2 linked regions of the Elephas maximus indicus genome follow. The protein of the gene in region 2 purifies or fractionates together with the protein of the main gene of each other region. This does not show direct contact. Links are inferred from orthologs where the notes say so. Each region holds a gene or a part of one and is shown on either strand. Other genes may lie near its edges.

Evidence for each region.
Region 1: the proteins of NDUFAF5 (region 2) and NDUFAF8 purify together in Homo sapiens (affinity purification with mass spectrometry; 3 studies listed by BioGRID and IntAct, counting the BioPlex papers as one, with this or other methods). This does not show direct contact. The link is inferred for Elephas maximus indicus from reciprocal best matches to the Homo sapiens genes NDUFAF5 and NDUFAF8.

Annotation. Positions count from the first base shown.
Region 1 is NC_064837.1:71,124,730-71,135,631, reverse strand, and holds NDUFAF8 (NADH dehydrogenase [ubiquinone] 1 alpha subcomplex assembly factor 8), read right to left. Parts: upstream 3,144-10,902; 5' UTR 3,073-3,143; coding exon 2,989-3,072; intron 2,782-2,988; coding exon 2,671-2,781; intron 2,204-2,670; coding exon 2,177-2,203; 3' UTR 2,112-2,176; downstream 1-2,111. Other genes in the region: AP-4 complex accessory subunit tepsin, read left to right, coding at 5,323-5,494, 5,729-5,820, 5,907-6,000, 6,193-6,260, 6,527-6,605, 6,709-6,780, 7,052-7,255, 7,615-7,792 and 4 more. UniProt on the Homo sapiens protein: Involved in the assembly of mitochondrial NADH:ubiquinone oxidoreductase complex (complex I, MT-ND1). Required to stabilize NDUFAF5.
Region 2 is NC_064843.1:53,400,967-53,412,737, reverse strand, and holds the start of NDUFAF5 (arginine-hydroxylase NDUFAF5, mitochondrial), read right to left. Parts: upstream 4,601-11,771; 5' UTR 4,578-4,600; coding exon 4,356-4,577; intron 1,757-4,355; coding exon 1,716-1,756; intron 1-1,715. Other genes in the region: ESF1 homolog, read left to right, coding at 6,134-6,773. UniProt on the Homo sapiens protein: Arginine hydroxylase that mediates hydroxylation of 'Arg-111' of NDUFS7 and is involved in the assembly of mitochondrial NADH:ubiquinone oxidoreductase complex (complex I, MT-ND1) at early stages. May also have methyltransferase activity.

The sequences.
Region 1 (10,902 bases), on a different chromosome or scaffold from region 2:
AACCTGCGTTATGTAGGTGACGCAACCTTGCTTGCTGAAAGTGAAGAGGACTTGAAGCACTTACTAATGAAGATCAAAGACCACAGCCTTCAGTATGGATTGCACCTCAACAAAGAAAACAAAAATCCTCACAATTGGACCAATGAGCAACATCATGATAAACGGAGAAAAGATTGAAGTTGTCAGTATTTCATTTTACTTGAATCCCCAATCCACAGCCATAGAAGCGGCAGTCAAGAAATCAAGACGCATCGTATTGGGTAAATCTGCTACAAAGGATCTCTTTAAAGTGTTGAAGAGCAAAGATGTCACCTTGAAGACTAAGGTGCGCCTGACCCAAGCCATGGTATTTTCAATCGCATTATATGCATGTGAAAGCTGGGCAATGAATAAGGAAAACCGAAGAATTGATGCCTTTGAATTGTGTTGGCGAAGAATATAGAATATACCATGGACCGCTGGAAGAACAAACAAATCTGTCTTAGAAGAAGTACAGCCAGAATGCTCCTTAGAGGCAAGGATGGCGAGACTGCGTCTTAGATACTTTGGACTTGTTGTCAGGAGGGATCAGTCCCTGGAGAGGGACATCATGCTTGGCAGAGTACAGGGTCAGCGGAAAAGAGGAAGATCCTCAACGAGGTGGATTGCCACAGTGGCTACAACAATGGGCTTAGGCATAACAACGATTGAAAGGATGGCGCAGGACCCGGCGGTGTTTCGTTCTGTTGTGCATAGTGTCGCCTATGAGTTGGAACTGACTCAACGGCACCTAACAACAACAACCTGAAAGACGCTCCCCCGACCCCAGGTTGGCCTCACCCAGAGACCCGTGTCCCGTGTGGTCACACAGGTTCTGGGTGTTCATGAGTCCAGGGACACGTTCCACCAGCACAGGGTGCCTCCGGCCCTTCATTAGAAGTGACCCTGGAGGAACCAGTGCCCAGTAATATCCCCCTAGACAGCCCCCAGCTGTCTAGGAGGATATTACCTGGGGTGGGATTTTATTTCTGCCTTGATTTTCCTGCTAACCTAGTTTTCTGGACCCTTTTCTGTTGGGAGGTACCACCATCCCCTCCTCTCCCAGGAGGCTGGAACAGCGCTGCCTGCCTGGCACATGCTGGCTTGTTTCTCACCTGTCCGCAGAGAGACAGGCAGAGTCCTGGGAGCACCCAGTGCTTTCTGAAACGTGCCACTACTGGTGGGGTAGATCCAAGGGCGTCAGGCGCCTGGAACAAAGCCTCAGGTGGATCAAGGACGAGAGGGTCTCCACACCTGGGGAGAGGGGACTGATTATGGAATAGAATTTAGAAATGGGCCAGGTGAGGGCCTGAAAACAGGCCTGGGCTCGCTGGGTTGCAGGGCTACTCCTGCTCACTGGGCCTAGTGAGCCATGCTCTGGCATCTGGAGTAGGCTGCTGCATGAGAGGGGATGCCCACTCAAAGCAGTTCCCAGCGTGCCCAGGATTTTTGGGACCCCGATGGCCTGTGGGCTTTAGACTATTTAAATGTACGGCCGGGGCGGGTTCTGCACTTCTGATCTCCCTTTTAGCTCATGGAACGAGAGGATGGGGAGCTGGACTGGGCAAGAGAGATGTCAGTGATGAACTTGGGCTCCTGATACCAAGAGGAGGTAGCAAAAGGAGGGGTAAGGGGTCCCCCTTATAGCCCATTGTTAGTCTGGAAGTGTGACCCCACCTTTTCCTGGGACCAGGAAAGTCAGCTGTAGGATTCTCTACTGCATGGATTTTTTTTCCCCTCATGGTTTGCTGCTGTTCGGTGCCGTGGAGTTTGTTTTGATTAACCACCCCACGTACAATGGAAGGAAACACTGCCCAGTCCTGCACCATCCTCACAATTATTACTTTAACCCTTAAGGTGGCACTTCTAATTTTATTCCTGGTACATCCTTGTTCCCTGCCCTGCCCCCTGCACAGTCAAACAGAATCTGTACCGGTTGTCTTTTAGTTCAAGTATGTTTTATTCTGTCCCACACCCTGTTGTACATTCTTGCTGGGAAACCCACTCCCCCTCTTTCTGCAGCTCTCCCTGCAGAGACGCAGGCCCATTTGAGAGCCGAAGTCTCCATGCCTAGGTTTCAGCCTCAGTGTTAAATGCTGCCACGTGCTGTTGGCAAGGTTGGGCCTGGCTCTGTGCAGCTTGGGTGGGCTGGTCCCTCCTAGCAGCCTCCCTTCACGGTCTTGGCCTGAAAAAGAAGGTACTTTGTCAGCACAGGTAGTTTTCAGGTTAGATATGGCTCCAAAGCAAGAAAACTCCCACCACAAAGGTCTTCCTTGACCAAACTGGACTTAAGAAACGAGGCTGTGGCAGGAGGCTCAGCTGTGTGAACCCCAAAACACCAGGGTGTTGGTAAGGTGACCCCCCACCGCCCTCATCATCTCTGCTAATTTTCCGATGGTTTCTCAGGTTAATGTCATCGTCTTCTAATAAACACGTAAACTCCACGAAAACAAAAGAGTTTTGTGGACTTTTTGGCTGACTGTTATGGTGTCCCGACGTCTAAAGCAGCAGCAGGCGCTCGAGCACTGAAGGAATGAGAGGGAGGGCTACAACCCCGGGTGGAAAGCCCTGGGGAGGCGGGCAGGTGGGCAGCAGGCAGACCACCGGTTCGGGTTCCCTCCTGACCTCTCGGGCCTCCCGGCGCCCACCTACCGCGGCGGTGAAGCACCTCCGCAAGGCCTCGAACTCCTGTGCGCAGAGGTCCTTCCTCAGGCGGCTGCCCGGGGCAGTGGAGGCCTGCACGCACCTGCCATACGCCGCGGCCTGCAGAGGAGTCGGGCGCGGGTCGCGGCGGTCCTCTCGGCGCCAGACTCGTCCCACCGCCCTCCGCTCCCAGGGTCCCTCCGGGTCTCGGCTTCGCCCACCGCCCTCCGCTGCGCGCGGCCCTTCCTGCCCGGGAGTAGCCCCATCGCCCTCCGCTCTTCTCCCCGCGCGGCCCTTCCTGCTCCGAAGACACTGCCTAGTCCTCACCTCGGTCCCGCAGGCCGCCAGGCGCTCGGGGAAAGCGCGGAGGCGGCCTCGCACGCGACTCCACACCGCTCCCTTCGCTGACATGAACGACCGATCCGGGCCCCCGCGGGAGCCGCCATTTTGGGTCCGTCCTCTTCCGGCGCCAGCGGCCTCAGAGAAGCGCACTTCCGCCCTGACCTACACCGAGCTCTCTAATTGGTAGACTTCGACCTTCGCCCTCCACAACCGCCTCCAGAGCCGCGGCTGGTCTCTCAGAGTCTTGCAATTGGCTTGTGTCCTTGTCTGTTCTTGCTCTGGGACTTTGGATTGGTTTATGCTCAAATTGTTTACCGAAGCCAGCCCAGTGCCCGCCCCACCGCGAGCGGTTGGCCAACTGGGCCAGCCCCGCGCGGTGATTGGACGGGTCTGGGCCTGGCGGAAGCAGCGTGGCCAGGAGGTGGCCAGCATTATGGCGGCAGCGCCGCCGCTGCGGGACCGCCTGAGCTTCCTGCACCGGGTGAGTGTCCGCAGTCTGTCAGGTCTGTCAGGTCCTCCCCCTGCTCTGCTTTCTCCCCGCGCGGGCCGCCCGCCTCGGGGTCACCGCATGCCGCCGCTTCTGGGCCCGGCCCGCCCTCCCGGTGCTCGCAGGGCCTGGAGCCGCCGCGCACCGCACAGCCCCTCCTCAGGCCCTCGCTGGCCTCGGCCCCGGCCTCAGTCCCCATCCCGCCAGCCAGCCTCCCACCCTCGGTCCCCTCTGTCACCTCCTCCCTGCCCTGGGGTCCAGCGTCCCGGTCCCCTGGCCTCGGTCCCCTCTGTCGCCTCCCTCCGCCCTGGTATCCAGCTTCCCGGTCTCCCGGCCTCGGTCCTCTCTGTCGCTTCCTCCCTGCCTGGGTGGCCAGTTTGCCGGTCCCCCAGCCTCGGTCCTCTCTGTGGTCTCCCTCTGCCCCGGTGGCCAGCCTCCCGGTCCTCCGGCCTCGGTCCCGTCTGTCGCCTCCTCTCCTCCCTGGTGTCCAGCCTCCCGGTCCCCCAGCCTCGGTCCCCTTCCCAGCTCCTCTCCTGCCCCCCGTGTTCTGCCTCCTGCTGAGGTCTGAGTCTCTCCTGAAGGCTGGGACACCCCCGTGTACAACGCAGGCACATCACTCCGATAGGCGCATCACTCCGACTCTGGTGTCAGCTCTGGGGTTGAAGCCATCTCTTTCTGAAGGACCTCAGCCGGGAAAGTGGGAGCTCTAGGCTGCGAAAGTCTACTTTCTTTCCCAAATTAAAACAGCTTTAAGGAGAAAAAAACGTGGCGGGCATTGAACCCACATATACAGACCCCCTAGGCTCTCTCCAGGTCTGGTTGGCACGTGAGCCGTGTTTGCATTGGCCCATCCTGCCTTGTCCACTTAGCATCACCCAGACACGTTATCGTGCGCTGACACGATACTAGCGGCGCCCGTTTGTACCGTGTCACGTGCTTAGCACCCACGGGGTCTACGTACTCACTGCTTTAAACAATCCCAAACTCTCCTGTGTTTAGGATCAGGTGAACGACACGTTGGCTAATGAGAGGTTGATGTTCTATCCCTGTAAATAGTGCATTTCTTGCTAATAGCCACAGTGTGTGTGTGTGGCACACTGGTTAAAGCACTCAGCTGCTAATCGAAAGGCTGGGGTTCTAACCCACCAGTCAATCCTCACGAAAGATGTGGTAATCTTTTTCCATAAAGGTTACAGCCTTGGAAACTCTATGGGGTAGTTCTACTATATTCTACAGGGTCATGGGTCAGAATCGACTACAGCAGTGGCCTTTGAGTGGGTGCTGAAAGACCTCGGAAGAAAGGCTTGGCGACCTGGTTCTGAAAGGTCACAGCCATTGTAGACACTGTGGAGTACACTTCTATTCCGATACGTGGGTTTACCACGAATGGAGAGTCAACTCAGTGGCAACTAGTTCTGGTGCTGATAGATAAGTGTGTGCCGTAAATGAACATCCGCTTGTGCTGACGGGCAAACGTAAACACACAAGGTAAGCTGGGTGCAGGGTAGTTCTGTGAGGTCCGTGGCGGAGGTGGAGTGATTGGGTCCGTCAGCCCAGGCAGTTCTGTAATGTTGCCACTTCAAGCTCTGTAAAGACTGAGCCGCGTGCTGTATTTTTGTGGGAAGGGCTTGCCGCCAGGCTTGTTTCTCCTGCTTGGCCGTAGACAGCGCATTAAAGGCACTTTGAATTGTGCTGCCCGGCTGTGGGTGGGGGCCATTTGCGGTGCCTGTTTCGACCTGCTTGGAGAGCCACTGCCCCGGATCCTTTCCCTGATGGGTGTGCCAACAGTGAGATAGCTGGAAGCTGGCGCCCCTAAAGCACCAAGCACTGGGATGGCACGTCTCAGGAGTTTCCGGAGCTTCGTCACCTGCAGTGGCTGTGGGCTCACCCACGTGGGTGGCTCCTCACGCAGGGCCTCTTGCTCTTTCCAGCTTCCAGTCCTCCTGAAAGGCACGTCGGATGATGACGTCCCATGTCCTGGCTACTTGTTTGAAGAGATTGCTAGTATCCTTCCTGGGTGTCTGGGTTGGGGGAGTGGGCATCAGGGCCCTGAGTGGCCCAGAGATTACTGGGGTTCTTCTGCTACCCCGAGGTGGGCTCCGCGGGTGCTTGCACCCATAGTCAGGTGCGGGCAGGTCCGAACGTGGTGTTCCGATGACACGGGCCCTTGGGGGAGCATGTGCTGAGCAGGCCGAAGTGACGGGATAGCCTGCCTTCCTTCCCTAACCCCACACCCAGACATCTCCCACGAGTCCCTGGGGAGCAGCCAGTGCCTCCTGGAGTACCTCCTGAGGCGCTTGCAGAGCAGCTCGGGCCACGTGAAGCTCAAGGTGGGAGGGGAGGGGAGGCGGGTGAACTGCCCAGGGTGGAGGCGGCTGCTGCCGGCTGCCTGCCCACATAGCTCTTCCAACCCCAGGTACTGAAGATCTTGCTCTACCTGTGCAGCCATGGCTCCTCGTCCTTCCTGGGCATCCTGAAGCGCAACTCTGCCTTCATCCAGGAGGCCACCGGTGCGGGCGGGCGTGTCGTCTGGGCTGAGAGCACCCCCTCTAAGCGCAGCAGCCTTGCAGCCCAGACTGGGGGGTGGAGCTGTGATGGGGTGACGCGCTCTGCTTCCCCCCGGGGTGGGCTTCCAGAGTGTGCCCGCCTGGTGCCCAGGGCACCTGGTGCCAGACTGAGCACCGCCTCTCCTCTGTCTGCAGTCTTCACTGGGCCCCCCGACCCTCTTCACGGGAACAGCTTGTACCAGAAGGTCCGGCTGGCCGCCCAGGTGAGTCGCCTCCTCCGGGCCATTGTTCCCCTCCACACTGCACAGTAGCTTCATTCTCCCTCCCCCCGACCTGGGTACCCTGGGCTCTGCTTGGCCTGGAACCCCTGCCCCCGCCCCAGAGCCCCGTTGGCAGCCTGTACAGTGCAGAGGAGGTGCAGGTGGTTCTAGGACTGTGGAGAGTGGGGGAGGGTGGCGTGGAGGGGTGGGGGGACAGGGGGGCAGGGGTGTGGTGCGGCGTGCCTAAATAATCTCCGGCTCCTGTTTAGGACTTGGACAGCGCCCTGTTCTCAGATGCGGTGTCACCGCTGTCTGCCCCCCGAGTCCCCAGGCTGCTGCCTCCCACTGGTACGTGACATGCCCCTCCCTGCCATCCTGGGCTCTGCATCCCCAGTATGCGTGTGTGCTGCAGAGGGGGGCTACAGTGCTGACCCAGGGTCTCCTCCCCTAGGCATGGGCTCCCAGCCCCGGCCCCACAGCACCCTCCAGGGCTTCGGCTACAGCCATGAGAGGGGCCGTACAGGTGAGTCCTGTGGCTGCCCCCCTGGGGAATGGGAGCTAGTGCTCCAGGCTGGCCCAGCTGCCCCCAAGGGCATGGCATGAAGGGCCGGGGCAGCCAGCTGGCCTCTTCTACCCTGGCATGCTAACCTCCCTCGTCTTCTCTGTCCACCTGGGTTTGACCTTCTGCTGGGCCATGAGGAGGGTGGGGTGGGGACAGAAGTGCTCCATAGCAACAGCATGCCCGGAGAATGAGGTGAGGGACCAGCACCATTCTATTTCCCCTCCCGACACAGGCTCTGTGGGGGAAGCCTTCCTCTCCACGATCCAGAAGGCTGCAGAGGTGGTGGCTAACGCCATGCGTCCTGGGCATGAGCAGCCTGGTGCGCAGAGGTCCACGCTGGGGGATGACACCTACCAACCCGCTGTGACACCATCAGCCAGCCACAGCCACCCCTCTCCTGGGAGGCTGCTCCCAGGGGCCAGCCCAGGCACTCGAGGTTCCATGGCAGGGACCTCGCTGGAGTCTAGCTCTCCCTCCCTGTGGCCCGGCGGGGGACAAGCCTTAAAGGGGGGCGGCCTTCACCTCTGGGGGCTGGAGGGGCATCAGAGCCATGGGACAGCCACAGTGTTCCCACATGCAGGAAGACACAGCCCCTGGGCCAGGGCGGGCTAGAGATGAAGGGAATCCCCAGTGGGGTTGTCGGCCAAGCCCTGTCCCCAAAGCACCACACAGGGTGACTCACAACTGAGCTGGGCGACAGCTCCTCCCAGGCTGTCCCCGGGTCTCTCCAGGGGTCTGTGAGTCTAGGGGGCAGTATGAGGTCCCTGGGACTGACCTGCCTTCTGTCTTTCGCAGCTGTGAGACACCAGCCAGGGCAGCCTGGGGGCGGCTGGGAGGAGCCAGACAGCAGCCCCAGCTCCCGAGGGTCTTCCCAGGAGAATGGTAGCCAGAGCAGGGCCTCTGACTCTGGTAGCGGCTGTGTCAGTGATGGCTGTTCAAGGGTGGGCCGGGAGCCTGGCGAGCTGGTGGAGAGGTGAGGGGCGTGGCCAGGCATCAGGGGACAGCCCCTTTCTCTTTTAGTCCAGTCCCACTTAGATCCCCTCTTCCCTCCTTGGATCCCCCGTCCGGATCCCTCCTCCCTGGGTTCCCCCTCCCTGGATCCTCCCTGCCTGGGTCCCCACTTCCTGGCCCTTCCCTAGTATTTCACTGTAGCTTGGGGAGGAGGGAGGGGTCTGCAGTCTAGCAGGGGCCATTCCTCTCTGACTCTTCCCTGAGCTGATTGTCCGCCTGTCTGTCTGTCCATCTGTCTGACAGGGTTGAGGCTGTGGCCCTGAGCGACTGCCAGCAGGAGGCGAGCCTGGTGAGGGCTGTGATGCAGGGATCACGTGCCTTCCTGAGCCATGAGGAGATCCAGCACTTCCTCAAGGAGTGAGCACCCACTGCCTGCTGCGGGGAGGGGGGACACCCACAGGCCCACATGCTCCCCTGAAGCCCAGGTCTGGCCGTGGTCACCCCTTGGCCAGCCCCTGGCCCAGCTGTCCCTCTGTGCAGGTGTGGGCGGCTCAACTGCGAGGCCGTGCTGGAGCTGCTGACCCGCCACCTGGCTGGGGCCCAAGAGTGTGAGCAGATGGTGAGGGCCTGGCGAGGAGGGCTGGAGTGGGGCGTATGCCTGTGTGTGCACAAGTGTGTGTGTAGATGTGCATGCGTGAGTGTGCATGTACATACATGTGTGTATGTGTATACGTGAGTGTGCCTACGTACACGGACATGTGCGTGTGTGTACATGAGTGCTTATGTGCACAAGTGTGCATGTATATGTATGTGTCGATGTTCTCTGTGTGTGTACATGTGTGTGTACTAGTGTGTGTGTCTGAATGCTCGCGTGTGCAGGCATGGGTGTATGTATGTGCGTGAGAGCATGCGTGTATGCAGAGGGGTGGGGGGGAAGGGGCAGCGTCTCCACCCTGACTCCTCAGCCTCCCCAGACTCTGTGCTGGGGGTCAGGGTGGGGTCTGCAGTGGCCACCTGGGTGACCCTGTGCTTGGTCCCACAGTGAGAAGTCGGAGAGAGCCACCAGGCCGTCCTCCTCTGGGAGTGACTGTGCTGCCTGGTGGTCCCTCCCTCCTCACTGTCCAGGCCGGCTGGGGAAGGGGAGGAGGAAGAAGTGTGTGGTGCGAGCCCCCCCATCCCACTCTCCCACAGAGAGCCCTGTGTGCCCTGTCCGCCATCGGTGGCGCTGACCTGCTGTCCCAGGATCACGTGCTCTTCCTGGCCCGGCCACGGCTGCAAGAACTCAGTGTGGGCAGCCCCGGGCCTGTGACCAACAAGGCCACCAAGGTGAGCACCGGGGGGTTGCCCTGTGCGTGGCTCTGCGGGACGTCACGTCGTCAGAACGAAGATGTCAGGACACGCTCACTGGCATGATGGCCGTGGAAGGGAGAATGCAGGCGGTGCACGCAGCACGGCCTGGGCATCTGCGGGGGAGGGCCGTCAGAACTGGTGCCCCAGAACTGGCCCTGCTCTGTGTTGTGGCACTTGGAGAGGCACTCAGGGGCTGGGGCCTTGTCTTCTGCGGGACCCCCCGGCCCCAGCCTCCTCTCTCTCCCGGATTTCCAGATCCTGAGGCACTTTGAAGCTTCCTGCCGGCACCAACCCTCTCCACGGAGGCTCCCGGCCGAGCCCAGCCCCACAGTGCCTGTGCATGCCCAGGCTTGCCCTCCCGACCTGCTGACTGACGCCTCACCTTTTCCGGATAGCCAGCCATCCCTGCAGCCTCTGAGTCCATCCCTGTGCCTGCCTGAGGGTACTGCTCTTCCAGGGGGGCTACAGCCCAGCCCTGTGCCCACCCCAGCCACCAGGGACACACGTGCAGGCTGGGAGAGTTCCAGGGACGCTGAGATGGGCTCGGCAGGTTCCCAGGAGCCAAGGGTCAGGTCTGACACCCTGGACGGAGGCCCAGAGCCTAACTCAGGCCCTGGAGGCTGCCTGTGGGCTCCAGTGGCCAACGGCAGCAACTCCTTGTTCGCGGGCATGGAGTTAGTAGCCTGTCCCCGCCTGGTGAAGGCCAGGGCTTCAGCCAGGGAGCCCCTCCTGCCGACCTCAGCTCCTGAGGCCCCGCGGACATTGGCCCCGACAGTAGCAGCCCAGGCTTCTCCCACCTCACAGCTGTCGGCCTTTGCATTCTTGAACACGTGATGTTGTCTGTCCTGACCGCCCACCCCTGGGATCTCCTGTCCCAGGCTCGCCTGTGTGCACCGAGGAGCAGTCCCCTTTGGTGACGGCCCATCCTTTGACCTCCTGCCGGCCCCCCCCCCCCAACCCCAGTGCCCCCTACAGAGCAAGCACTGTCCTGAGCAGAATGGGAATGGGAACATCACCAATAAAACCCTAGATGGTGCCCTTGTGCCGCTGCAAACCACCCGGAGCTGGATGGGCACAGAAGAGGAGGGGTGGTATGGCTTCTCCCAGGGGGGCTGTGCATCCTGACAGCCCTGCAGGGGCACACCATGACGCTGTGCTATCTCAAGGCAGGCAGTGTGAGCTGATGTGGGTGTCACACTGTCCCCCGGCCCCACCTGGGGACACCGCTAGTCTCTTCTACATATGGTGCGTCCTTGGTACCTCCCATCCCAGAGCACGGGAGAAGGGAGGTACTGGCAGCCGCTGCATGTAGGGGGCCGTCGTCCGTCCATGTAGGAGGGTGGGACAGGGTGCTGTGGCAGCACAGGCTCAGAGTGGGCTAGGCCCAGCTGTCCTGGGGCCACCTCCCCAGTCCTTGAGGCCCCACCCTGTCTCTCACTGGCTAGGACCCAGCATCTCCATGTGGGCTGGGGCTGGATAAGGGCAAAGCGTGGGCCATTAGCTCAGTTGCAGGTGATGTGAAATGAAACAAGACCCCAGGGCTGCCTCCGTCTCCCCCATCTCCTTACCTTCAGCTGGCTGCTTGGGTATGCAGTCCTGCGATGGTGGGGGATGGGTGGCAGACATCAGACAGCTGACCTCTGTCAGCCCCCCTGTTGTCACTGAGGGGCCCCTGCAGCCATGCCCGCAGAGAAACATTTCTGGTGTGGCTTTGGAAGCAGTTTCTTTGTTCTTCCTTCAAGTGGTGATTTCTGAGCTAAAATCCCTTTCCCCGCAGGGAGG
Region 2 (11,771 bases):
CACGACTGGTGATTTACTAACCTAGTGCCCTGTATCTGGACTATGAACACAGACAATGTGGCACAGTTGTAAAGTATGCAGGCTTTGGAATCAGAAAGACCTGAGTCAGAATTCTGGGCCTGAAATTTATTGGCTCTGTAAACGAAGCAAGTGATTTAACCTTGATAGATCTCAGTTTCCATCTAAAAAACAGAAAAATTACTGCGTACCTCAGAGTTGGTGCAAGTTATAAAAAATGATGCACGTAAAAGGAGCCCTAGTAGCGCAATAGTTAAGTGCTCTGCTACTAAACGAAATGTCAGTAGTTCGAACCCCCAGAGGCTCCACAGGAGACAAGACCTGGTGATCAGCTCCCGTAAAGATTACAGCCTAGAAGCAGCTCTACTCCATCATATAGGGCCACTACGAGTCGGAACAGACTTGACGGCACACACAACGGCAGTGTGCATAAAGCATTTAGCACAGTACAAATGCTCAATAGGAGCTAGTTATCAGTTTTGTGACTAGTGAGCCTCTGAATCCACAAATAAGACAATAATCTGTGCAGTTAGTTTTTAAAAAATCAACGACATCAGTGCTGACAATAAAAACTTTTTTCTAATACCAGAACATAAATAAAGAATATTAATTTAGACTGATATTTTTAATAATTCAATTCCAAAGAGTTAATGTTAGTTGAAGACATGCTTTTAGCCGTAATCCTAGGTCTCTCCATAGACCTGTGTTTTGCTCAGTACTATGACATAAAGATTGTAAAATCCAAACAGATTTGCAAAACCTAATTTTTCACTTATTAAATCACAAATGGGCTATAATCCAGGCATAAGAAAGGAAATTATTAAGAATTAGCTATTTTTCAGATCTATAAATGGAACCAATGAAACAAATGAAATGGGGGCAATTATTTGAGACAATGAAGCATTTTGTCTTATGAAATTAATGCATCCCAAAAGCAGCACGGAAGTATCTAAAATACGATTGAAAGAGTTCATGATTTTACGAAATTTCCTTTATTATAGACAAATCCAATAAATTAATCCCATCTTGGTCTGAATTAACGGATGGTCTTTTAACCTAAGAGTACAAAAATTTGCCTAACATCACACAGCATCTGCCACATGGCTGTCAACTCCAGTCCACAGATCTTTCACTGTATCTAATATTAAGCAATGAATTCACCAAGGTTTCAATAATACTTCATGAAAGTGTTCTTTTCTTGAATCTTCCTCATACAACCTTGTTACCACTAACAATGTTCAAGATAAAGTGGCCAAAGTCCCATATAATCAAATTGGAGAGTGAATCTAGGCAGACTCTCTCCTTCTCTTAGATGATAAAAGACTCTATTGCTAAGTTTAGTTAAACATGTAAAGCTAGGTTTAGTAAATCTTCAATATTCACATGCAGCCAATCCTATATGCCCATTTTTGGAGCAATCCTTCCACTACTGGCTTTTGGCCAAATCAAGAGGATCAGTCATTCAGGCCTGGAGACAAGCCGTGAGTTGTGCTTGCAGTCATTTGTTTTTTAGGCAACAACGAAGGAAAGAACATTTGCTCTCTCAGACATAAAGAAACAACTAGAGAGTGATTATCACCACTCCTGGTAATAATTTCCTCCACATTTTGCCACTCCAGGTATTGAGCTCTCAACATTTAATATATTGAGTCTCCAGCTGAAAGGTGACTAAATTTTACTAAGTAACCATCACTTACCTGGCTATGTCATATACACGGTCTGCAACCCGACTTCCAACCTGAAGGATAACAAGAGGCAATGATACACACAAGATGAGCAGGCTTAACAGAGAAGTAACACTTTTCACAGCATTCGACAATCCACAGGTTACTTACGTTTCAACTGGTAGAGAAGTACTTCCCTTAATCCCTTTTTCTATTTGACCACAGCAAGTTTCTCCTCTATTTCAAAATAATCCCCCGCCGCAAAAAAAAAAAAAAAAAAAAAAAATCCCATTGCTGTCGATGAAACAACATACGTATGTTATATACACACATATATAACGTATCCTTTATATTTCATGTGAAAAAGGGAATCCACAGACCGGGAAAAAATTTTTGGCTATGACATATCCACAAGGGTCTAATCTCGAAAGTCTAGAGAATACTTCAACACCTCAACAATAAAAAGACAAGCAATCCAGCTAAAAAATGGGCAAAGGATATGAACAGACACTTCACCAAAGAAGACATTCAGATGGCTAATAAACACAGGAAGAAATGTTCGCGATCATTAGCCGTTAAAAAAAAAAAAAATCATTGCCGTTGAGTCGATTCTGACTCATAGCAACTCTATAGAACAGAATAGAACTGCCCCATAGGGTTTCCTAGGAGCAGCTGGTGGATCAGAACTGCCAATATTTTTGGTTAGCAGCCTGAGCTCTTAACCACAGCTTTGCCAAGCCATTAAAAAAAAAGCCATTAAAAAAGTGAGATGCAAATCAATTTATGACCGTAATTGCGGCCTACCAACGGGACTGGTCAGTTTTGCCTTAAAAGAAAGCCAGTTGTGAGAGGGTGTAAGGGAACACACTCACCTGCAGATATAAGTTTAGTGGTGGATATTTCTACGTACATAACTGAATGTGTTGCTTATATATTCATACAGACAATAGAGCACACAAGGGCCACAGTTAGGGCAACGTTTTAGATGTAACCAAATACCTCACGGGACGAAGTTCCTAGGCTCAAAGGCGAAGAACCATAGACTCAGGGGACATCTACGTCAACTGGCACAACATAGTTCATAAAGACAAAGTTCTGCATCCTACTTTGGTGATTAGTGCCTGGGATCTTAGAAGCTTGTGAGCAGCCATCTAAGATACAACTATTGGTCTTCTGTGGTCCAGAGCAAAGGAGAGTGAAGAAAACCAAAGACTCAAGGGAATAATTAGTCCGAAGGATTAATGGACCATACGAACCATAGCCTACACAGCCCTGAGACCAGAAAAACTAGATGGTGCCCAGCCAGCACTGCCGACAGCTGACTGGGATCAAAACAGAGGATCCCAGACAGAGTGGGATGAAAACTGTAGAACAAAAATCAAATTCACAAAAAAGACCAGACTTACTGGTCTGACAAGGACTAGAGGAACCTTGGAGACTATGGCCCACGACACCCTTCTGAACTGGAACTGAAGCCATTCCCAGAGACCACCCTTCAACCAAACCACAGACAGGCCCACAAAATAAACAATAATACCCAAGAGCAACGTACTCTTACATGAGATCAAAAGGGCAACATTTGCCCAAAAGCAAAGATGAGAAGACAGGAAGGGGTAGGAAACCAAGACAAATGGAAACAGAAAACCTAGGATGGAAATGGGGAGAGTGCTGACACATGGTGGGGAATGACAACAATGTCAGGGAACAAAATCAATTTGCTCCATAAATTTACACCTAATGCACAATAAAAATTCAAAAAAAAATACAAATGAAAACGATGTGTACTTTTGAATTTTCTAGTCTTTTCTAGTAGCTACTTTTAAAAACATAAAGGGAAAAATTAGTTTGAATAATATATTTCATTTAACCCAATATATCAAAAATTTGATTATTTCATCAAGGAATCAATATAAAATAGAGATATTTTACATGATTTTTTTCCTCACTGAAATTCAGTGTGTATTTTACACCTAAAGTGCATCTCGATTGGACTAGCGACATTTCAAGCGTTTCAAAAGCCACATGCGGCCAGGGCTACCCTAATGGATGGACAGCACACAGAGTACAAAGCCCTTACCTTATGAGGCCCTAATGACTTGGGCCCTCCTGACTACCTCTCCCACTCACTAGAGCTCTAAGCTCCACCGTCGCTGAAGACTCAACAAGGTCCCTTTGGCCTCAGGCACCTTGCACTTGTCCTTCCCTTTGCCTCCCTCAGCTTGACTACGAAATTCTTCATCGGGTCTCCTGCCCAGCGGCCATTCCTGACCACAACAGTCATCATCATTTAACTTTTTTTTTTTTTAATTTTCCTGACCTAACTGAAATCGCCGTATTGGTTAATTTGTTTCTTGCCTAGGGTCTGTTTCGCCCGCTCCGCCCCCATCCCACCTCCCTCGAAGAACGCAAGCCTTATGAGAACCGCGTTCTTGCTCTGCCCTGGTCACAGCTGTACCTCAAGCGATATTTGCTGAGTGAATGAATGAACGAACGAATGAATGAGTAAAACACTCCGAACACCCGAGCCCCACCCTCCCGTGATTAGAGCAGAGGCCCAGGGAGGCAGGGCGGCTGCCCAAGGTCACACAGCAAGACGGGGTCAGGGCCCGGCCCCAGCTCCCGGATCCGCAGCCCGGCCTCGGCGCCGCCCTTCCCCGACCCCCGCGCTCTCACCTCCTCCTTCAGGTAGTCATACTTCTTCGGCTCGGGCTGCTGAGCGGCCCAGTTCTTCTGTTTCCTCTTCAAATTCCGGTCGAAAATATTCAGAGCTCTAGGCGAGGCACCACCCGGGGGAAAGACGCCAGAAGCCACCTCCCTGCGGCTGAGGTTTCCCGCGAAGACCCCCGCCGCCCGAGGCCGCCGCCACAGGCGCCAGAGCTGCTCGAGTCGCAGCATCTTTAACTGTGACGCCACTAGCCGGCGCGCTTCGGTCGCGCGCATGCGCCACCGCTGCTTTAGCGGCTACTGTATAGATCTTCGCGGAAGGAATAGCGAAGTAGTTTTGGCCTTGCTCGCGTGCCGTTACGGCCGAGTGCCGCGGAGGATTGTGGGTGTGGGTCTCGTGTGAGACGCACCGAAGGCGCCGCGAATCTGTGTGGGTTGCTGAGCCCAAGGAGGTAGGTAGAGAGGGAAGAGCCAGTCTCTGACAGGCTATCCTTCGGTTTCTTCAGTGGTGGACCCTTTCCTCCTGGCCTTTCTGGCCTCGTTTTTCAGACTTCCTTGATCCTCCTCAATGGTCGCTTTCTCTAGGGGCCTCAGCCAAATAGCTGCAGGGCAAGGGGACACTCGGTTCATTACTCAGCCTGAGGCACCGGTAGAAGGGCAGGGTGGGCTAAGGAGATGACGGTGGGCGTAGGAGCTAAGTCTGATCTCTTTCCCTTCTGTTCGAATATCTGACCTTTCATTCTAAACATTTACACGTGTTATCTTTATTAATTGGATAAGATGATGTCCACGTCGGAAGGCTGTCTCGGAGGGTTAAATAATACATCTAAAGCTCTCAGAACAGTAGCTGGCATGTAAGAGCTCGCCGTTATTAATATCAGTATTATTTTTGTTTAGCTGTGTAAATGCGTCTTTGAAACCTAGTTAAGGCATTAAAGAAATTGTTTTAAGAAAAAAGTACAGCTTTGTAGTCAAGCCGTGTTTTTGAAACATTAAAACAAAGCATAACTATTCTCTTTGATCGGTCACTATTTACTTTTAAAACTCACTTTTGGCATTTACCAAAAATCAAATCCAGAGATGCTAAACCATTGGTCAGTTTTTTCAAGGGGCCAATGCTGATTTGTATGTGTGTATCTATCTATTCTGATGTAATAATCTAATGTAAGATGTTATAGAAAAACTGTGATTTTTTTTTTGACTGGAGTGAGACTTTACCTGGTTCTTGAAGGATAGTAGGATTTAAAGAGGGAAGTTTGTGAGCTAAACCTGAAGTGATTTGGATCTGTTTATGAAGTAGTTAGGAGACTGGCTTTGTAAAACTAGAGGCTGTTGGGAGTAGCAGGAGGTAAGGATTGACAGTGAGAATGGGACCAGAATGCAGAGAAATAAGGGAGACAAACTAAGGCTTGGAAGTCTTTTAATTACTTTAGCTTTTAACTTACAACACAAACAGGAATACATATAGAAGTTTTAAATGAGTGCCATTGGTTAGTAGGCATTTACCACAACATAAAACTCTGAAATTCTGCTTGGCTTTGACTTATATTTATCTCCAAATGTTTTCAAATGAAAAGATAGTTTGAATATGGTTTTTTCTACATGTAACCCAGAGCAAGTAGAGAAAATGAAATAAGACTTGTTACCTTCATTTAACTTATAGCATATTGTGAATTAATATTTTTCCAAATATTTAATTAGATCCATAACTCTTCATTATTGTAACATTTGTTTTATTTTTTAGTATTTGGTTTCTTCAAGCATTTGTCCAGTCCAGAAGTTTAAAAATGGCATCTAAACAAGAAATAATGAGTGATCAGCGGTTTAGACGGGTTACAAAGGACCCGAGATTTTGGGAAATGCCAGAAAAGGATAGAAAAGTCAAAATTGACAAGAGATTTCGAGCCATGTTTCATGACAAAAAGTTCAAGTTGAATTACGCTGTGGATAAAAGAGGGCGCCCCATCACCCACAGTACTACAGAGGACTTGAAACGTTACTACGACCTTTCGGATTCTGATTCAGATCTCTCTGATGAAGATAGCGAAGCCCTGAACCAAAAGAAAATGAAGAAGAAAAAACCCCAGACTAAAACAGGAATAGATTCAAAAAGTCTAGTCGAGAAAAAGAAAGAAACTGAAAAAATTAATCAAAAGGTTGCTGAAAGTAAAAATGAATTAGATAATTCTGAAATAATTCAGAAAGCAAAAATGTCCTTCAAATCTAAGAAGCTGGATTCAAAAATAAGTCCTAAGAAGGATAGCAAAGAATTTACACAGAAAGGTACAAAAGAGAAAAAAGAAGTTGTTCAACATAGTACAGACTACGTTCCTAAAGGAAAACTAAAGGTAGTTGACTCCGACATCACTAAAGTTGTGAAATCACCAAAGGTCGAGTGTTCTGAGACAAGAAGAGAAGTACAATCAGGTTGGTTGGAAAGAATTAGGGATGCTTTATTTTTTATGCTGATTTTTAAAATACAAATATACCTTAATAAGTATTTTCATGGTATGATGCCTGCTGCTGGTGAGTCAATTCCGACTCATAATGACCCTATAGGACAGGGTAGAATTGTCCCGTAGGGTTCCCAAGGCTGTAATTTTTATGGAAGCAGACTGCCACAGCTTTCACCTGTGGAGCAGCTGGTGGATTCCAACGCCAGCTTTCCAGTTAGCAGCTGAGTGCTTTTACCACTGTGCCACCAGTATAATGAGAATGGTCAAATGTTTATTTGGAAGTACAGAGCAATGAAAAAAAAACTATGAAATGATTATTAATTTTTGATTTGGTTCTGTAATGGCTAGAAGACAGGCAAATGAAGGTTTGAGGCTAAATAATGACTTGGATTTGTAGTGGGCACTAATGAGAGCCATATTTTATAACTAGAGAAGGTGTTATATGCTATCATTGCGTGATGAGCAGTATGTCTGAAGCAGGTAAGTAGAGTTGATTATGTATGCGTTCCTTTATTTTCTCAACAAATACATATTTAGTAAACAATAGTGGCAGATAGGAAACTTTGGTGGCATAGCAGCGAAGTGCTATGGCTGCTAACCAAAAGGTTGGCAGTTCAAATCTACCAGGCACTCCTTGGAAACTATGGGGCAGTTCTACTATGTCCTGTAGGGTCGCTATGAGTCAGAATCGACTGGACAGCAATGGGTTTTTTGGTTTTCTTTTTTAGTGACAGATAGGAGCCCGGGTGGCACAGTGGTTAAGCGTTAGGCTGCTAACGAAAAGATTGGCAGTTTGAATCTACCGTATGGGGCATTTCTACTCTGCCCTGTAGGAGTGCTGTGAGTCGGAATCGACTCCACAGCGATGGGTTTGGTTTTTTTTGTTTATTGGCAGAGAGGAGCCCTGGTGGTGCAGTGGTTAAGGGTTCAGCTGCAAACCAAAAGGCCAGCAGTTTGAATCTACCAGCCACCCCTTGGGAACTCTATGGGGCAGTTCTACTCTATCCTGTAGGGTTGCTATGAGTCGGAATTGACTTTATGGCAGCAGGTTTGGTTTTGGCAGACAGAACATGAGTAAGGCATGGTCCCCTATCTCAGAGCTACTGCTAGCTTATATGATGCCTTTGAGCAAATTAGAAAAGACATCCCCCTCTGAACACACAGAGCTCCCAGGGTTCAGTTTGGTGAGGTAACAGATTCTCTGAGTGAAGCAACAGATTCCTTTCCCCTGGGTGGAGAGTACCCCCCTTCCCTCCCTCTTCCCCTCATAGCTTTTTTGCAAATAACAGTCTGCTAAACTCTATACAGTGGCCCTAGACTAAAGCAGGCATGTCTAATAGAAATCTGTAATTTTGAATTCTTTGGTAGCCACGTTAAAAAAGTAAAAAGAAACAGATGAAATTAATTTTAATAGTATATTTTATTTAACTTAGTATGTAAGAAATATACCATTTCAACATGTAATCAACACTTAAAAATTCAGTGGAATATTTTACTTTTTCTTTTATACTAATTCTTCAAAATCTGGTGTGTTTTACACTTACAGCACATTGCAGTTTGAACTAGCTCTGTTTCAGGTACTCAATAGCCACACGTGTCTGTGGGCTTCCGTTTGAACAACACAGATCTAAAATAGAAAAAGAAATTAGTCAACGGTAATACAAAATAGAATAATAGTAAGTGCCATAAAAGACATTCAGCAAAAGACGATGAGAATTCAAAAGAAAAGGCCACTTGAAATGTGTAATCAGAAAAAAATCGTAGAAGCACTATTTTGATTGAGATTTGGAAAAATTAAATTTGGGGATGAGAACATTCTACATGGAAAGACCTTAAGCAAAGACAGGGTTGGGCATGTCAGAAGACATTGGTAGTCCTGTTTAATGAGTTAAGTCTCTGAAGGGGTGAGTGGATGATAGAGCGAGAAATGGTTGTTTGGAGCTACACTCTAGTTCATGTTTACATAATTAACATTAAAATTTTGTGTCATCTCTGGCAGCAGTAAATTTTGAGTGTCGGTGTTGCTGATAATTGATGTTATAAAGAAGAATTAGTTGTTCAGATGACCCCGACAAATTGCCTGTAATCACAGGACCGTAGGAGAATAAGTGTCATGAAAAGGCAGAGAAAATTCTTGACAGATCACATTGGGAAGGTAGGAAATATCAGGCAGTACCCAGAATTGTAGGTGGCAGGAACTAGGGGTTTAAGGATGGGATCCCATTCCATTTGTAGTGGAGCCAGGCAGCAAACTGAGGTATGAGGAGAATGGATAGGAGTCTGTTTACTAAAATTGGAAAATAAGGTCAGGGTGGGACCAGCAGTTAGATCAGTTTAAAGTTGAGTTTGTTAGCTAAGTAGTTTAGAGTCCTTTAAGTTCACTTAATTTAGGACACTGGATTAATGTGACACATTCATATAAGCCTCTAGATTGATTTTACAGAATTTTTTCACATATCTTTTCTCATTAATTTTCTTAATAACCCCGAGAAATCAGGATATATTTCTCAGGAAGCAAGGCTAAAGTGACTTGGGTGAGGACACACAGAGCTGGAAGTGTAAGTCAAGCCTTCTGATTCTTCCCACCCTACCATGTTGCTGGTGGTAACTTATGTTGGTTTCAGAGCCTAGAAAACGCATCTGTAAGTGGCGATTAAGTGACTCCTCGTAGGACCATCTTTAGTTTATTATCTACAGTTTTCATTCCAGCAACTACGGCGTGCGAGGGACTTTCTAAGTGTTGCAGGATAAAAGTAATGTGAGGAGTTGCAGTTTGGTATGTGTTATTTTTAAATGTTCAAGCCCAGCACACCTAGACTCCTAAGAATTTATTCTAAATATATAATTGGACATATGTACAAAGGATGTGTCTTGCAGTATTGTTTTAAAAAAATAAGAAAAAAAAATGGTAACCTAAATCATTAGGAGTCTGATTAATTAAATTACGATATCCAAACATGCCTGTGATATACAAAGTTTTAAAACATAGGTTATAAAATAACATAAATGATGTGACTTAATTGTATTAAAAAAAAATTAGTCTATCATAGAAAAGCATTTAGCCAATTATGTACCAAAATGTTAATAATAGTTACCTGTAGATGAAAAATTACTAGTTACCTTTACTTTCTTTAAATTTTATTTAAATGGGATCATACAATATTTGTACTTTGTTGAGCATAATGTTTTCAGGTTCATCCATGTCATAGCATGTATCAGAACTTTATTTCTCTTTATGACTAAAATTCCATTGTACATATATATTTACCACGTTTTATTTATCTATTCATCTGTTAATGGACACTTGAATTGTTTGTACCTTTTGGCTATTGTGAGTAATGCTGCAATTGATGGACAAGTGTCTGTTTGGGCATATACCTAGGGGTGGAATTGCTGGGTCGTATGGTAATTTTATGCTTAATATTTCGAGGAACTATTTTCCACAGTGGCTATACGATTTTACATTCTCATCAGCTATGGATGAAGGTTCCAGTTTCTCCACATTGTTGCCAACACTTATTGTTTTCTGTTTTTCTAATTATAGTCAGATTTTTAAAATATTAAGTTTATGTATGTATTTCAACACCTTTGAAAACCGTCCCATCATGTCTGCGACTTCAGGAATATTGCTTAGAACAAAGCCTTTTTTTTTTAAAGTCAATTAAAAGAAAAATATAGGTGGTATGCAGAAGTCATGAAAATAGTATGATAATGACTGAAGCTTGAGAAATATTGCAGTAGTACATGCATCTAGGTCCTTGAGGTGTTATTTCTGAGCACTGTGTTGCTTAAGAATGAACTCTGCTGCTTACCTCAGGATAGCTTTCTTTCACTGTTACGGTGGTGACTTCCTGATTCCATATACAGAGCTTATGGTAATGCCACCTCTTGTCTTTGTCGCATTTAATAGCTAGTTATTTTTATTATTTCCTACTCCCTTGTGGTACTAAAATAAAAGTCTATGTTCTGTCTTTCCACCTGACAAAACTTTCATTCGCTTAGTCTCAGGTCAAATGACATCTTTGTGAAGCCTCCCCTGTTATTAATACCTCTCTGTGGTCTCCTGATGCTTTAGAACACAGATTTCTAAATCAGTGAACAGTTTCCTTTTGTTTTAGAACCTCCACGACCATGGGATCATGTTACAAAACATCCCTCTTTCCCTAGCTCAGTGCTTGCTTTGTACATAGTAGATACTCAGTAACAGTTCCTCCATGCTTCATAGGTTTATGAAATCAAGAGAAACTAGGTTCCAATTTCTTTCCAAGTCTTAAGCCTTTAGATTTGTTTTTAATTCTCCAAGCTTAGATCCTGTGAACAAGCAGAGCGTAAGCACTGTCTAAAGATGGATAACTCACACATGAATTACTCACAAATTTTATCTCAGCCCAGGCTTCTCTGAGTCGTAGACTTGTATTACCATACCATTATCAGTTGACATGGAGTCATTTCCAACTCATGGAGACCCCATGTCTGTCAGAGTATAATTGTGCTCCATAGAGTTTTCAGTAGCTGATTTTTCAGAAGTAGATTGCCAGGCCTTTCTTTTGAGGGACTGCTGCATTGACTCGAACCACCAGTCTTGTGGTTAGCAACTGAGTACATTAATCAAAAGTTTGTACCACTCAGGGACTCCATAAACTCAAATAGCTAACTGCTTTCTTGATCTCTCCAAAAAACCAAACTTGTTGCCATTGAGTCAATTCCAATTCATAGTGACCCTATAGGACAGAGTAGAACTGCCCCACAGGGTTTCCAAGGCTGTAATCTTTACGGAAACAGACTGCCACATCTTTCTACCTCGGAGCGGCTGGTGAGTTCGAACCACCAACCTTTTGGTTAGCAGCCAAGGACTTAACCACTGCACTGCCAGGACAACTCAAAAACTCAAACCCACTGCCATTGAGTCGATTCCTATTCACAGCAACCCTATAGGACGGAGTGGAACTGCCCCATAGAGTTTCCAAGG